3 linked regions of the Nothobranchius furzeri genome follow. The protein of the gene in region 1 purifies or fractionates together with the protein of each later gene. This does not show direct contact. Links are inferred from orthologs where the notes say so. Each region holds a gene or a part of one and is shown on either strand. Other genes may lie near its edges.

What was found.
Region 2: the proteins of mybbp1a (region 1) and lyar purify together in Homo sapiens (affinity purification with mass spectrometry; 3 studies listed by BioGRID and IntAct, with this or other methods). This does not show direct contact. The link is inferred for Nothobranchius furzeri from reciprocal best matches to the Homo sapiens genes MYBBP1A and LYAR.
Region 3: the proteins of mybbp1a (region 1) and sirt7 purify together in Homo sapiens (affinity purification with western blotting; 3 studies listed by BioGRID, with this or other methods). This does not show direct contact. The link is inferred for Nothobranchius furzeri from reciprocal best matches to the Homo sapiens genes MYBBP1A and SIRT7.

The regions. Positions count from the first base shown.
Region 1 is NC_091750.1:52,602,967-52,607,909, reverse strand, and holds the start of mybbp1a (myb-binding protein 1A-like protein), read left to right. Parts: upstream 1-1,777; 5' UTR 1,778-1,853; coding exon 1,854-2,030; intron 2,031-2,619; coding exon 2,620-2,715; intron 2,716-2,827; coding exon 2,828-2,911; intron 2,912-2,996; coding exon 2,997-3,071; intron 3,072-3,158; coding exon 3,159-3,266; intron 3,267-3,352; coding exon 3,353-3,543; intron 3,544-3,625; coding exon 3,626-3,793; intron 3,794-3,954; coding exon 3,955-4,072; intron 4,073-4,171; coding exon 4,172-4,461; intron 4,462-4,527; coding exon 4,528-4,638; intron 4,639-4,718; coding exon 4,719-4,844; intron 4,845-4,943. Other genes in the region: tbl2 (transducin beta-like protein 2), read left to right, coding at 17-169, 528-987. UniProt on the Homo sapiens protein: May activate or repress transcription via interactions with sequence specific DNA-binding proteins. Repression may be mediated at least in part by histone deacetylase activity (HDAC activity).
Region 2 is NC_091743.1:56,228,714-56,233,710, reverse strand, and holds the start of lyar (cell growth-regulating nucleolar protein), read left to right. Parts: upstream 1-1,512; 5' UTR 1,513-1,827; coding exon 1,828-1,949; intron 1,950-2,032; coding exon 2,033-2,147; intron 2,148-3,585; coding exon 3,586-3,693; intron 3,694-4,954; coding exon 4,955-4,997. Other genes in the region: zbtb49 (zinc finger and BTB domain-containing protein 49), read right to left, coding at 1-606, 727-878. UniProt on the Homo sapiens protein: Plays a role in the maintenance of the appropriate processing of 47S/45S pre-rRNA to 32S/30S pre-rRNAs and their subsequent processing to produce 18S and 28S rRNAs. Also acts at the level of transcription regulation.
Region 3 is NC_091746.1:22,678,712-22,683,778, forward strand, and holds the start of sirt7 (NAD-dependent protein deacetylase sirtuin-7), read right to left. Parts: upstream 3,215-5,067; 5' UTR 3,102-3,214; coding exon 2,997-3,101; intron 2,652-2,996; coding exon 2,514-2,651; intron 1,665-2,513; coding exon 1,560-1,664; intron 1,486-1,559; coding exon 1,415-1,485; intron 1,342-1,414; coding exon 1,269-1,341; intron 1,185-1,268; coding exon 1,086-1,184; intron 1-1,085. Other genes in the region: uncharacterized protein cp110, read right to left, coding at 3,962-4,121, 4,298-4,380. UniProt on the Homo sapiens protein: NAD-dependent protein-lysine deacylase that can act both as a deacetylase or deacylase (desuccinylase, depropionylase, deglutarylase and dedecanoylase), depending on the context. Specifically mediates deacetylation of histone H3 at 'Lys-18' (H3K18Ac).

The sequences.
Region 1 (4,943 bases):
TTCTCCCTGTGCTCAGGTTTGTAGCATCCTGTGGTTTCACTCCTGACGTGAAGGTTTGGGAGGTTTGCTTTGGGAAGGGAGGAGAGTTCAGAGAGGTCGCTCGAGCGTTTGATCTGAAAGGCCATTCTGCAGGAGTTCATGCTTTTGCTTTTTCTAACAACTCTCACAGGTAATAAAAGTGTTTGTTTACAACACAGAGCCACAGAGGAGGCTTGTTGTGCTTTGAATTTAAAAGCGATAAGACAAACAGCTTCCAATACCAAAGATGATCTGGGGCACGCTGAGTAATTTCCAGCTTCATTGTGCAAACAGAACTAATGATTCAACACCAAGGGTGTCATCTGATGAGGACACAGTGGGTGTTAAATCGTTAGTTCTGTTTGCACAATGAAGCTTGAAATTCATCAGTGAGATCCAGTTCCTATGTTTGATATCTGAAGCAATCACTCTGCTAAATGGAAAAAACACACAGATTATCTACGACACTTTAATATAACTGATTTGTTTTTCTTTCTTTTATCGATCAGGATGGTCACCGTCTCTAAAGATGGAACGTGGAAGCTGTGGAACACAGATGTAGAGTACAAAAAGCAGCAGGATCCTTACCTCCTGAAGACGGTCCCTTGCTCCTCCTCCGAAGGCAGCAGAGTGGCTTTGTCCCCTGATGGCCGTGTTGTGGCCATCAGCAATGGTTGTAACATAGCGATGTACGATGCTGCCACTGGGAATCTGGAGAAGGAACTGCACGGTGTCCACAGTGAAAACATCTCCGACCTCAGGTTTGACATTAACAGCCGCTTCTTGGTGTGCAGCGGCGACAAGGCTATCAGAGTGTTTCATAATGCGCCAGGCTACCAGGCTGCTATCAAAGACATGCAGGACATGCTGAAAAAAGCCCAGAACGAGGCTATGAAGCAGAGACTGCAGCAGCAGATAAAAGATGCTCAGAGCGCTCTGGACACTGTGCTCACTGCTCGGATCGAGTGAAAGAATGCACAAAGAGCCACCATGTGATTGTGATGTGTCATGTTTTTGTCAACATCCAGTTTCCCTTTTCTGCTCATTAATTTGTGCAGGAAGCAACGGGTTATGCATGCAGTTTTAATAAAGAATACATTTTTATGCAAAGATGAAATGTGTTGTGGATGTGTGTGGTTTGATTTAAAGTTAGGAAACCAAAAACACGGTAATGAAGATGGTCTACAATACCAAAGTGAACGCTCTTGTCACAGCATCATATCACAAAACGAGTAAATGCTTAAAGAGAAAGAATTTACTTACTGAATAATTAAATAAAAAGTGATTTAAAAGTAGCATGGGTTAATTGTCACTAAATTCATATTAAAGTCTGGATTTAGTTTTTGCCAATTGAATAAGAAACATTAGTTATAGTACCTCTCAAGATAAAATTCAGGAGGCGCTTATTGAGGTCTTTGTTAGAAAAACAAGATTAAACCCTGAGAATGCTCTTTCCTAAATAAGCTTCAGTAGCTTTCACTTAGATTTTAACTGAAAAAAAAAGATACAGTCAGAAAAACCCTCAACATCAAGAAGTTTCCATGGATATGGATCTGGCCCTGGTTTAGACTGTTCCACCTTCCCACAAAAAACGCTGATGATCAAAACAAAGTTTATTGAAAGAACAAAAAAATGGGGGTTTACATCATGTTGTCACCGGCGCACGTGGAGGTGCAACTACTGGGCAGCATTCTTTAACGATGAAATCCGAGTCTTGCGCCGGCCTATCGCTAAAGAGCAACCCTCATCTGAATTGACCCGGAAGTGGTTTGTGTCTGTGGAAACACGTTTTCCTCCCGTAGCAGCATGTTGATCAGAGGTGGTTCTGAGAGCAGATGTCTGTAGAGATGGTGGAACTGTTGGTGAAGGCAGCGGAGCCGCTGCGACCGGCCGGGGTTTTACAGCAGAACCGGGTCTTCCTCGACTTCTTCTGGGATTTAGCTAAACCGGATCAGGAGGTCCGACTGAAGGCCGTGGAGAACCTGATCCAGTACCTGAAAACAGAAAACAAGGTGAGAAACTGCCTGGACACGATCCAGACTCAGATGCATTATGTCCTCTGAAGTTAAAGTTTTAGTAAATCAGAATAAAAGTTTTTAGATTCAAATGATTATATCACTGACTAAATTGTCAATTTCTTAATAAAATCGCCTACGTTTTGGTTTAAAAAACTTTTTCTTCATAATTGGACAATAACTCAAAGAAAATCAAGTTTTAACGGACTAAATTAGTTTCTGTTAAAAACAATTTCACTAGTGTTTAACAATCAGCTAAAAGTTCACAACAAAGTAGAAGGCGTTAATTAAATATAAAAATAAAGTATAAAGCAAAGTGCAAGTTTAATACCGGTATATCAAAACAAAAATAAAATGTTCATCAAGTCATTTATACTCAAAGATAAAGACATGAGTTTTAAATGGCCTGTATTTGTATAGCGCCCCCAAGACGCTTCACAGCACAATCACACATTTACACACTGGTAGGGATGAGCTACCATGTAGCCACAGCTGGCCTGGGGCTCTTCTGAGAGTAGTGATGTCTAAATGTTCCCAGTCTCAGTGGTGTGTAGAAAGTTTTACGGATGTTGTTTCTGTCCTGCAGGCCGATGAACTGGATTACACGTTTAAACGTCTGGTGGACGGACTGTCCCACACCCGGGAGACAGCCAGGCCTGGGTTCAGCCTGGCTCTGGGACAGGTGAGGGCACCGCCAGCCCGCTTGATTGGTCGATTCAACTTTAAAGTTCACCAGTTTGTAGAAATCAAAAAACTTCAATGTTTCAAATTAAGCGATAAGTTTCCTCTTTCAGGTCTTGAGTGCCTTTAAGGACGTCTCCCTGCAGAGTATACTGAACAGAATCAAAGAGAAACACAACATACAGGCTGTGAAGAAGGTGAGTTTAGATGCTCAGGACTCCTTTGGCATCAGGAACTTCACTAACGGGCGTTTCCACTCACCAAAATCACGTTGTTTCATAGAAACTTGCCAGAAATGCGATGTTCGGAAACTTGTTTGGCGTCCTCGCTCTTCATCAGTCTGGACGTCTCGCTGAAGTGAGTTGGGAGTTTTTTTTTTTTTTGTTTTTTAAGGTTAACATTCTAAAGAGTCAAAAACACTTATAGCAGCTCTGATCTCTGCAGGAGCCACAGGTGGTGTTGGGATGTGTGACGCTCCTCCAGAGTCTGACTCAGCACAAGCAGCACCTGAAGGACCTGCCCAGTAAAACCATGGTGGACATCCTCACTGAGGTGACCGCTGCGTCCTGGTTGCAGCTTTCCACTTTGTATCAGTTTAACCTCAAAACGCACTCACATGCTGCCCTCTTGGCCTTCAGATCCCAGAGGAGGTGTTCGAGGAGGTCCTGCTGGGCGCCCTGCAGACTGACCTGGCGTCAGCCTTCAACACTCCCGAGCAGCTGCAGCTGCTGTTGGTGGCGCTGCAGCGCTTCCCTCAAACTCTCAAGCCGAAGAAACTCAAGAAGCTGCTGGGCTCCTCCACCATCATTAACGCTGACAACATTCCAAAGTGAGAATTCGGGAATCAGGTCTCAAAATACGCATTCAACCGTCTCCTCCTGCTTATTATCATTAAAAACCTTATCTGTCAGATTGATAGAGGTGTTAAAGATGGCAGCTCACTCTGTGAAGAAGGAGTTAACTCTACCAGCCGTTGCTCTGGACCTCCTGAAGCTCTCTCTGAAGGAGGACAGCTTCCAGCTCTTCTGGAACAAAGCCATCACAGAGGGAATGTTCAGGGAGCCGTTCGGAGTGACTCAGTGAGTTTATTACGAGGATGTGAATGAATCGGACCCAAAACGTGGAAACAAAGCTCTAAAATGTGAAAAGTGTAGTTTTTATTTTCTTGTATGACTTTGTTCTTCCCTGCAAGTGAATTTTTATTCTAACATCCAGCCTTCCCATTGTTGATTCTGTTCAGTTATCTGAGCTTCCGCCTGCTGGGAAGCGCCCTCCCTCTGCTGTCGTTGTCCCAGCTGAAGACGGTCTTATCTGGAGAAGTGATGATGCACTACGGAGAACACGTTCTTGCATCTCAGGTTAGTTCCAGGGTGAATTTTAGATTTCACTCGAATCAGAGGAATAACAAGTGAGGTCTTGGTGAGCTGTAGATCTGGATGGCTGTTTTTCTTTTCCAGAAACCGGGCCGCTTCAAGCTGGCCCCGGAGATGGACACCTACGTGTTGGACTTCCTGCAGGCCTGTCAGGACTCAGACAAGCAGCTGGCGGTCATGGTGGGCTTCTCCTCGCTGACCCACTTGGGTTTGCCTGTGGTGTTGCCAGTGTGGAAGGTGGTGCAGCATCTTCAGCCTGCAGCCTTGCAGAGCTACGTGGAGTGGCTTAAAGGAATGTTTCTTCAGCCTCGGATGGAAGAGCTGCTGGACTTCAGCACCCGCAAGCAGAAGGGCAAGCAGGAGGGTGGAGAGCAGTGAGTTTATACGCCCGCTTCTTTAGCTGACTGAAAAAACACCTTTTAACTCTAATGCTCCTTCAGGAAGGACAGCGCCGTTTTCCACCTGAGGAGGTGGATTGTTTCTCGACTTGCCTCCATCATCGACAACAGTCAGGTGAAGAAGCAGGAGGATCTCATCATGGACGTGGCCAGGTGAGCTTCCTGGTGAGCAGCTTCAGGGTTTCTGTGGGAGTCGAGGAGAAAACCATGATTCTGACTTGCTCCTTTTCCAGGTTTGTCTTTTTCCACGCCTTCTTCGGCACCCAGAAGGCCTCCTCTGACATCGCAGAGACTAGTTCAAAGCCTTCCATCCCGCTTGACGAGAAAACCAGAGGAGTGCTCGTCAGTTCTTTTTTTGGGTGAGAAGAAGTCTAATTTCCTTAAGTATTACCAACTTTATTAAAGAAGTCAGACTTTGCCTCTGCAGCTTCAGTTAAGTCCCGTCCCATCTGTCTTCC
Region 2 (4,997 bases), on another chromosome or scaffold:
GAGGTTACAGGAGTGTTGTTTCGACTCTGGCTCATTCCAAGCTGCTCTTCTGATAACACTAAAGGACCTGGGCCCTGGTTTGAAGCTGCACTACTGGTTTGCAGAGCACTTTGTTTGAAGTACTGCTTACTGTAAAAATTACGGAGCTTATATCCATGAACCAGCTGTTTTTCTACAGGTGCATGAGAGCTGCTAGGTATGTCACCATTTGTGCTGTTGCTAGGCAGAGAAACTGGTATCCTTCTTGTGTGGTCCAGGTCACTGTAAAAATTTGGCCTCTGGGATTCAGAGGTACAGTGAAGGTCAACATCATGTGGAAGACCACTGCCCAGAAGACAGTCATGCTCTGAGCTCAGCATGCCTGGGAGGGAAAAGGAAGACAACTCTGCGGGTGGGGGGCAAGGCTTGAGGAAGGCGTTACACATGGTCTGCACATTTGGAACCTGCAAGCTCTGGGCAATGTCCAGAAGCGCTTGTACGTTTTCTTGGTTAACGTCGAGATGGGAGGTATACATGTAATCCAATATTTGACCAATGCCACTGACATCCTGGATAACCAGGTTGAAAACGTCGCTCTTCTGACTTGGAGAGTTTTGGAACAAAGACCTGGAGAAATCCAATTATAAAACAACTCAATCATCTATAGAATCGCAACATGATTAATAGAGAAAGCTAAAAAATACAAAAACATGTGGATTTTTATTCATTAAATTGACTTTAGGGCACCTGAAATAGGAACTGAAAGCAGCCAGGACATTTTTGTGGGCTTTGAAGCAAACACCTTTAACCACCAACATGCAGTCACAAAGAAGTCCCTGAATTCTTTGTTCCTGGAGCTGCTGGAGAAGGTATGAGCTGTGGCTGGACAGGGAGTCCATGGTCACTCAGCTATTGGACCTCTCTCAACTTCAACCTTACATCAGGGGAAAAAGAAGAAGAAAACAGCTTATCTGTAGCTAATGGGTAACAAACAGCTAAACTGGGTTACAAATGCATTCTTCAGCTGATTCTGGATAAACTTTTGAACTTCATATTTTCATCTATTTTGTTCTGTAAACAGCAGATTTCCGCTGGGCCGAGTTACGAGACCAGCCATGCAAAAATAACAAAATGTCTGCACCAAGCGATCGCAGCAGTGCGTAGGAAAATTGGCTGAACGCGAAATTTCTTTAAAAAATAATGTTTTGAAAAGTAAATAAATTAGATTAACTGCCAACAATCAACTTTAGAAATAAACAAAGCCAACAACTCCCTTAATACATTCCTACCTTTCATTGGGATGATGGGTCACTAGACTGTGGTGACTTACGTCACTTCCTGGTACAGCGCCTATTTCGAAACATGAACACAGATAAATAAATATATATTCTGTTTTAATAAAAGGAATTACATGCTTGTAATTTTATTGGTTAAGGTAATCAAACATTTTTGGCATAATGTTTCCTCTCCCAATCTTTTAACGTTATTTTAATAATTGTAGGAACGTTTCTTTGGGAGCATTTTCCTCACGGAAGGCTAATAATGTAGGATTGAATTGCGTGAAGTATACACGTAGGGAATCAGTAAATGTGCTTCTAGGTGTTTTTTTTGAATCCGATAACTTTTATAAAAGCAACGTATGTTGTTCATCCGCTTGAAAATATTAATTGGCAAATATTATTTTCTACTTTTGTTAGTAGGTTTATTTTTTGTTGTCCACATTTGACCGTTAGCGCGTGCCAAGTCTAGTACTGGGGGATTGTTCCACATTGAGCATCAAACGTTGTTTTAACTTGCTTTAAGAAGCTAAAGGCACCGAGACACAGAAGTCACTGAATTGCTTTTAAAATGGTGTTTTTTACTTGCAACGCGTGTGGTGAATCGTTAAAAAAAGCTCAGGTTGAGAAACACGTGAATATGTGTCGTGGTTGCCAAGTGCTGTCCTGTATCGACTGTGGAAAAGACTTCTGGTAATGGCTGGCCGAGTGTTTACAATCCATAGATTTCTGTTCACAGACTTTTCTTAGTGTAAACTCTTCCATGCTTTCTACAGGGGTGATGACTACAAAGATCACAACAAATGTATAAGTGAAAATCAGAAGTATGGAGGGAAAGGCTACGAGGCTAAGGCAAACAAAGGAGATGTGAAACAACAGCAGTGGATTCAGGTAAACTTCTCTCACCGAACGGTGGTTCCTCCATCCATCCATCCATTTTCAGCCACTTATCTGGAGTTGAGTCGCAGGGGCAGCAGCTTAAGCCGAAAGGCCCAGATTTCCCCCTCTCTGGCCACTTGGGTCAGCTTCTCTGAGGGAACCCCAAGGCCTTCCCTTAGGTCTCCTCCCAGTTGGACGTGCCTCATCAACCTCATCAAGGAGGCGTCCAGGAGCTATCCTGACCAGATGCCCGAGCCACCTCAACTGGCTCTTCTCGAAGTGGAGGAGTAGCGGGTCTACTCCGAGCCCCTCCCGGATGACTGGGCTTCTTATCCTATCTCTAAGGGAGAGCCCAGCCATCCTGCAGAGAAAACTAATTTGGCCGCTTGTATCGCCGATCTCGTTCTTTCGATCACTACCCAAAACTCGTAACCATAGGTGAGGGCAGGAACGTAGATCGACCGGTAAATCGAGAGCTTTGCCTTCAGGCTCAGCTCTCTCTTCACCACGACAGATCAGTACAACGCCCGCATCACTGCAGATGCAGCAACAATTCCCCTATTGATCCCACGCTCCATCTTTCCCTCACTCGTGAACAAGTCCCTGTGATACTTAAACTCCTCCACTGGAGGCAGGACCTCATCCCTGACTCAGAGAAGGCATTCTACCTTTTTCCGATTCAAGACCATGGTCTCGGGTTTAGAGAAGCTGCTTTGCACTCTGCCGTGAAACGCTCCAGAAGAAGTTGGAGATTACATTTTGATGAAGCCAACAGGACCACATCATCTGCAAAAAGCAGAGACCTGATCCTCAGGCCACCAAAACAGATCTCCTCAACAACTTGGCTGTGCCTAGAAATCCTGTCCATAAAAGTTGTGAACAGAATCTGTGACAAAGGACAGCCAGGGCGAAAACTACATTGTTCATCCTGAATCTGGCCTTCGACAGTCCAACAGACCCACCTTTACAGAACCCCTGAATAGACCTTTCTAAGGAGTGTGATCTCCCTGTAGTTGAAACACACATTGCAGTCCCCCTTTGTAATTAGGGGGACCACCACTTCAGTCTGCCAATCCAGTGGAACTACCCCTGATGTCCACGCGATACTGCAGAGCCGCATCAACCAACACAGCCCCACAACATCCAGAGTCTTAGGGAACTCTGGGCTCATCCACCTCCAGAGCCATGCCACCGTGGAGTTTTTTTTTTGGTGACCTCAGTCCCAGAGATTGGAGAGTCCATTCCAAAGTCCACAGACTCTGCTTCCTCCCTGGAAGACGTGCCAGTAGGATTGAGGAAGTGTTCCACCCATCGATTCACAACGTCCCGAGCTGCTTGCCCCTCCTGAGATGCCGGATGGTGGACCAGAATCTCCTTGAAACCATACGGTGGTTTGTTGTTGACTGAAATATTTTGTTAAAATTCAGACTTTATGTATCTTTTTTTTCAGAGAGTACATGAAGCCATGAGCAAACCGGGTATCAGTGCCAAGCTGAAAGATGTGCTTAGACAAGTCAGTACGTATGATAACGTTCCAAGAAAGAAAGCGAAGTTTCAGGTTGGTACAACTGTGAACAGTAACAGTTATTTTCATTTGACGGTCATACACAACTGGATCTCCTTTCAGGTTGAAGGCATTAAGATACAATGATAACATTGAGCAACAATACCCTAAATTCATGATGCTGTTCCCACTAGAAACAGTGAAAGACACTGTTAAAAAGCAAATATACTATTCAAAAAATTAGGTAAAATCTAATAAATGACTAAATAAGGCATCTCATTCTCTATAATACAATCTTTAAAAGTGCAGTCTCTAAATTATAACATAACTAAATAACTATTCACTTAGTACTTCATGGGGCAGCAGCCTAAGCAGAGAGGCCCAGACTTCCCTCTCCCCAGCCACTTGGGCCAGCTCCTCCGGGAGAATCCTTAGGTGTTCGCTGGCCAGCCGAGAGACATAGTCCCTCTGGCTTTGGGTCTCCTCCCGGTGTCCAGAAAAACCTCACCAGGAGGTGTCCTAACCAGATCCCCGAGCCTCCTCGACTGGCTGACAATATTAATCCTGTTTCCTCTTTAATTCTAGTGCATAATAATAATAATAATTCATTGAACTTATATAGCGCTTTTCTAGACACCCAAAGGCGCTTTCACACACTCTCACATTCACACACTGCTAGTGATGGTAAGCTACTTGTAGCCACAGCCGCCCTGGGGAGGTCTGACAGAGGCGAGGCTGCCATTTGGCGCCGTCGGCCCCTCTGACCACCACTAACACAGGCAAGTTGGGTGAAGTGTCTTGCCCAAGGACACAACAGCAGGATACCCCTGGCGGGAGCTGGAATCGAACCCATGACCCTCCGATCATGAGGCAGCCCGCTCTACCACCTGAGCTACTGCTGCCCCATGGCATAAGTGTCTGACTGGTTTTTGTAAAGACATTTTGTTTGTTCTTTATGTGCAAAAGTCCATAATAAGGACGCTTTCATTTTGAACACCTGTAAACAATAATGATATAATTCTATAAAGGCCTAAACATGATTACATTTTTATAGTGCCGTTCTAAGTCAAGGGCTTTGCTTTACACACACTTACAAAGCCAACTTCTAACCCTCGCGTCACTGTCACTGACTTACTTCAGACAAAGTATTAATTTAGCAAAAAAATAGCACTTTTTATCCAAATTGCTGTAGCAGATTTACAGACAAAATTGTGGTTTTGACTTTTTAAAGTTAAATTATACCATGTAACAAGTCCATTCCTAGTAAATAGTTTCACTTTGTGAAAGTTAACCATTTTATTTTCTTTCTTTTTAGAATTGGATGAAAAACAGCCTTAAAATAAACAACACGAGTCTAC
Region 3 (5,067 bases), on another chromosome or scaffold:
AGAGTCTGGGGGCAACAGCAACAGATGATCTGTCACCTTTGACCTTTAGCCTGGTGCTGCACAACCATTAGGCTTTGGTCACTGGACCTCAGGGACCTGCTGGGGGTGTAGGGACTAAGAAGATCACCAATGTAAGATGGTGCTTGTCCATGTAAGGCCCTATAGACCAGAACCAGGATCTTGAAATGAACCCTGAAGTTGACTGGCAGCCAGTGAAGCTGGAGGAGAAGCGGGGTGATGTGGGTGTGTTTGGAGGACTTGGTCAGAAGCCGAGCACAGGCGTTCTGAACCACCTGTAGACGGTTCAGGGAGGTTCTGCTCAGACACGTGAAAAGAAAGTTACAGTAGTCTAAGCGTGAGGAGATGAAGGTGTGGAGAACTGTCTCAAGTTCAGAGCGAGACAGAATGGGACTCAGCTTAGCAACGTTCCTGAGATGGAAGAAGGAAGAGCGAACAAGAGAACTGACATGAGAATCCAGGGTGAGAGCTGGGTCAAAGGTCACGCCAAGATTCCTGACATGAAGTTTGAAAGGTTTTCATATGCGACCCTCTGTTCAGGCAGCGGAGCATCGATAAGCAATTCCCCGCCAGCACAGCAGAGGGCGTAGCTCTTTTCTGCGGTACCCTGCCACCATAAAACTCCTGTATCCGGTACACGTGTTTACTAACGTCTTCATGTGTTTCAGAGACTTTATAACACGGACAATTTTGTCCATTCTCCTCCAGCTCTTCATGCCCTCGCCACCTCTAAACCCACGCTTCCTGTCGCTCTCGTCCACGTTTGTTCCGTATTTTGTACTCCTTCAGTCACGGGTGAATAAACGTTGATATTTTCTGACTTTTTCCACGATGCAATCTTCAATCTGTTCTGGGTCTGCAGCTAAATATCGCTTTACTCTTTAACAGGGCAACGGCGGAGCTGGTGACGAATCTACAGAAAGCGGCGTCCTGACCAATCACAAGCTTGCGTTCTCCATCACTTTCTACGGATGTTTAAAATTTTGGGCATGTCACCATCACCCCCTGTGAACCCTGTCAGAGCCCTTGTGCCGACGCAGACGGAGAAGTAAAAAATCAGGCTTTACTTCAATGTACATGTTCCCATGAAGCTCAGAGAGGGCGTGTCGGGGAAGACCGCTTCGCAGGTGAAGTCCATCACAGTTCTGTGACACAACATGCTTCACCTTGATTGAAAAACAGACAGAATTAAATGTAGCTTTAGAAATGAGGTCCAACCTTTCTAAACCATCCAAACTTGTCTCACATACCAGCTTCTCCTTGTGGAGCATCCTAATGCACATGTGAGTGAGCGTCGGTGCAGCTTTACTCAAGTCTGACGAACTGGGACAGAAGAAACGACAGAAATTTGAAACCCAGACTATGACCAGCTTTTTGATAAAGATGTGCCTCTCACCTTATTGCCTTTCCCTTCTGCAGCTGCGTCCACACCCCGTTAGGGCCCCTGTAGTCTGGGATAGAAGCAGCCTAAAACGAGAAACTACTGGTACATTGAAGGTTTCTAAATCACAAGAGCAACAAATAGGGGAGGTTTGGAATACCGTGCTGATACCAGCTCCAGTGTAAACCACCAGGTGATGAGCTTCCCTGACCGCCTCAGCCAGTTGTTTGACTTTGAGTTTCAACTCATCAGCATCATCAAACACCTGAAAACAGCACAAGAACAGAGCCTGAGAATAAACAAGCAGGTAATCAGAGTCAAACATCGCGCGTTTAATGATAAATGTGTAATTCTGGTTAAACATGATATCTTGAATTTATTGTGAAAATAAATCCTGATTTTTTCTTTTGTCCGTCCATCTTCAGCCGCTTATCCAGGGTCCCCGGGGGCAGCAGCCTAAGCAGAGACGCCCAGACTTCCCTCTCCATCCCCTGATGAGTCGTTAGCCTCTACTACAACCACTCCCTCTCAATAGAGGCCAACGACTCATCAGGGGATGGAGACGCGGGATATTCAGAGTAGTTTCTGCTCATTAAATAACAACAGACGGCTACAGCTTATGAGCTTGACTCTCCCACGTTCCAGTCAGAATTGACAGAGCTCCTCGGATGACAAGTTAAACGTCTTCAAGAAACCAAAGAAGTCCAGCTGACTTCATTTGAACCCTTTGGACAAACAACCGAGCACACACACACACCTAAGGACCATTTAGACAGACCAGTCAACCTGACAGCCATGCTTTGGACTGTGGGAGGAAGCCGGAGTACCTGGGGAGAACATGCAAACCCCAGGCTGGGATTTTAACCCAAGACCTTCTAGCTGCAAGGCAACAGCGCTAACCACTGCGACACTGAGCAGCAACTAAAAACACATTTGATCAAACTTTTTCACTAAACCAGACACATTGTGTGGTATGATAATTAAAATATAACTATAGTTAAAATAAACTCATAAAAATAGCAGTTTTTGAACTTTAGGATCATTTGTTGCACTTGAATGATTTGCTACAGGTGTGGGCTCACCTGTCCCTAACGACGTTAACCTTGAGTCTCACCTCCTCCTGCTTCCTCTTGAGGACACTCCTGCGGATTTGTCTCTTGCACACCTCATCCACGGTTTCTCTGTGCAGGACAAGCGCAGCGACTTCTTCCTTAGACCGTTCCGTTTCCGGCTTCTTCAGCACCTGTCCGACCTGCAGCGAGAACCGGGCAGGTTTACCGGTGCTACGTAGAGATGTGCTCACTACCACTTTTTCCTTCCCCAGACTGTGGAGGAGTTTTGGGTCCAAGCATTAAGATAAAATAACGACTTGTTTTCCATTATAGCAGCAGAAACATGGGAAATACCACACGTTGTGACACTGGTCAGATGTTAATGACGTTTACAGCCTAACTGTTGGATTCTGACACGTGAACATTTGTAGTTTAGTGGGTGGGATGCATCAGCATGTCTGCAGAACTTCGGGAAACCGCTGGTTTACTGCTAATGTAGCTTGCTAGCGCTGCCATCTTTTATTGTTACCCTTCTCTCATCTCACCAGTCTGAAAATCTTCCTCTCCCGTTCTCTTTGAAGTATTTTAGCCTTGTCCAAAGCTTTCCTTCTGGCTCGAGAAGAATTACCAGTTTCTGCATTTCCTTCCATTCTGCTCTGACACCCGAAGAGCTACAACAACAAACAAAGCTCATCTCATCTCCTCAGCGCGAGCTGAGCGGATATTAGCCGAGCGATGATGAGGCAGCGAGCAGCGCCCCCTGCCGCCCGGAGGGCGCATGCGCGTCTTTCTCCACAAAATCAACCCGGAGAAACTTTTATTGTGAAAAACAAACAAAAACATAATATACCAACATTATCAAATATCCAAAAGCAAGAACTAAGTATAAAGGTGTAAACACAATTAGGCTAATATTCCAAACCAGTACAAATCTTTTAAGGATGCACCGGGCAGACCACTGCAGTAACATGCTGATGTGTTACAAAAGCACATCATTATCAAAATTAAGGGTCAAAATGTGCTAATATGTTTAAAAGATTGTCTAATTTTGGCTGAAGGCACATAAAAGGGGACAAAAACGCTCAACTATCTCTTCTCACAGGTCCAAGTGAGTCCAGGGTCCCCTTACAAATATGTGGATTCAGCTGAAGCTAATTTAGGATCAGGCATCCCAATGAGCTACAAAGGTGAGCCAGACTGCACAGGAAGTGGTTCTCTGAAATGGGTCTAATTTGCTCTCCTACATTAGTTTTCATTCTGCCGTGGCTAAACTGTCTCTATTGATGTCGTCACCACGTCAGATCCGCTTCTGTTTTCTCAGCATCTTCTAAACACGAACAAGATGAATAAAAGGAACTTGAAGCATTTTTTATTATAAAAAAAGACTAAGACTAGCTCCTGAAAACGCAGAATCCATTTGAATGTAAGATTTTAAACATCTGTTACACACTCTTCATGTAGTTCACTGGAGGCCTTGTTAGAGTTCTCACTGGGGCCAATTAGGGAAGTGTCATCGAGGTCTCGAGGAGTAGGCGCTCGTGGGGAGTCTCTGAGGATTTGCTTTGAACTGTCCTCGTTTCGTCTCCTGAGGTCTCTCGACTGTGAATGTAGACTTCTGTCCAGTCTTTGTCGTGTCTCCCCTGTGCCGTTCCAAAGCCCTTTTCTGTATCCTGGAGGGAAGAGAAGACGTTTTTAGTAGCTGACGGAGACATTTTCTGTAGCTTCTGCTAACCTGTGGAGTATTAAGAAGTTTTCCATGAACAGCATTAAAATGTGTTAAGACTTCAACAGATCTTCTGCAGATGTGATGGAGACAGACGTGAACTTTTACCAGCTACACACTCACATGGTTTCTCTCTTCCTCTCCAGTGATTTTTGTGTTGCTGCTGACAGAAAACCCGTTCTTCTGGGGAAACCTGCATGTTCTTTCTAAAATGTGCACAAAACACACAAACATGAGGAACATACATCAGTTTACCCCCTAACATGCACGAGTGTGGGCATAAATAATTCCATCTTCTCCACTGAAGATGTCTTAAATGGAGGAGATAAAATAACCAAAACACTAACCAGCCTCAGCACCATTACTAGCACTGCTGGGCTTCATTGAGGTTTGCAGGCGCTACTTTATGCATGACTCTGAAAGTCCCACCACAGAAAATCATTCAGGTTTAGATAAAACTTTGGTTTAATTCATGCTCACTCAGGATTTACTGCTGTTATGGTTATAATCCTGTTAGCCGATTCAATCTGAGCACATTCAGTTCAGCAGAAACCTCATGTCTGACTTTAAAACACATTTAAGGTTGTTTTACCCAATACATCTGCAGTGGGCTCTAGGATAAAGGAAAGCCATGTGAATGGATTCTGTGGCGCTCCTGTTTCAGGAAGAAGAAGTTGGCTGGAGCGGAAGAGGGCAGATTTAGACTCTAACCCCCAAATTCCACTACCTCCGCTCCGCTCCGGCACGAACTCCGGAGCAAAATCGGTCCCGTTGTAGTCAATCAGAGCAATTCCACTACTGCGGCCGTACTGCGGCCGTGCTCCGGCAGTGCGCCGCCCTCTGTTCCGGCAAAAATAGAATCTATCCTATTTTTGCCGGACGCCGGAGCACCT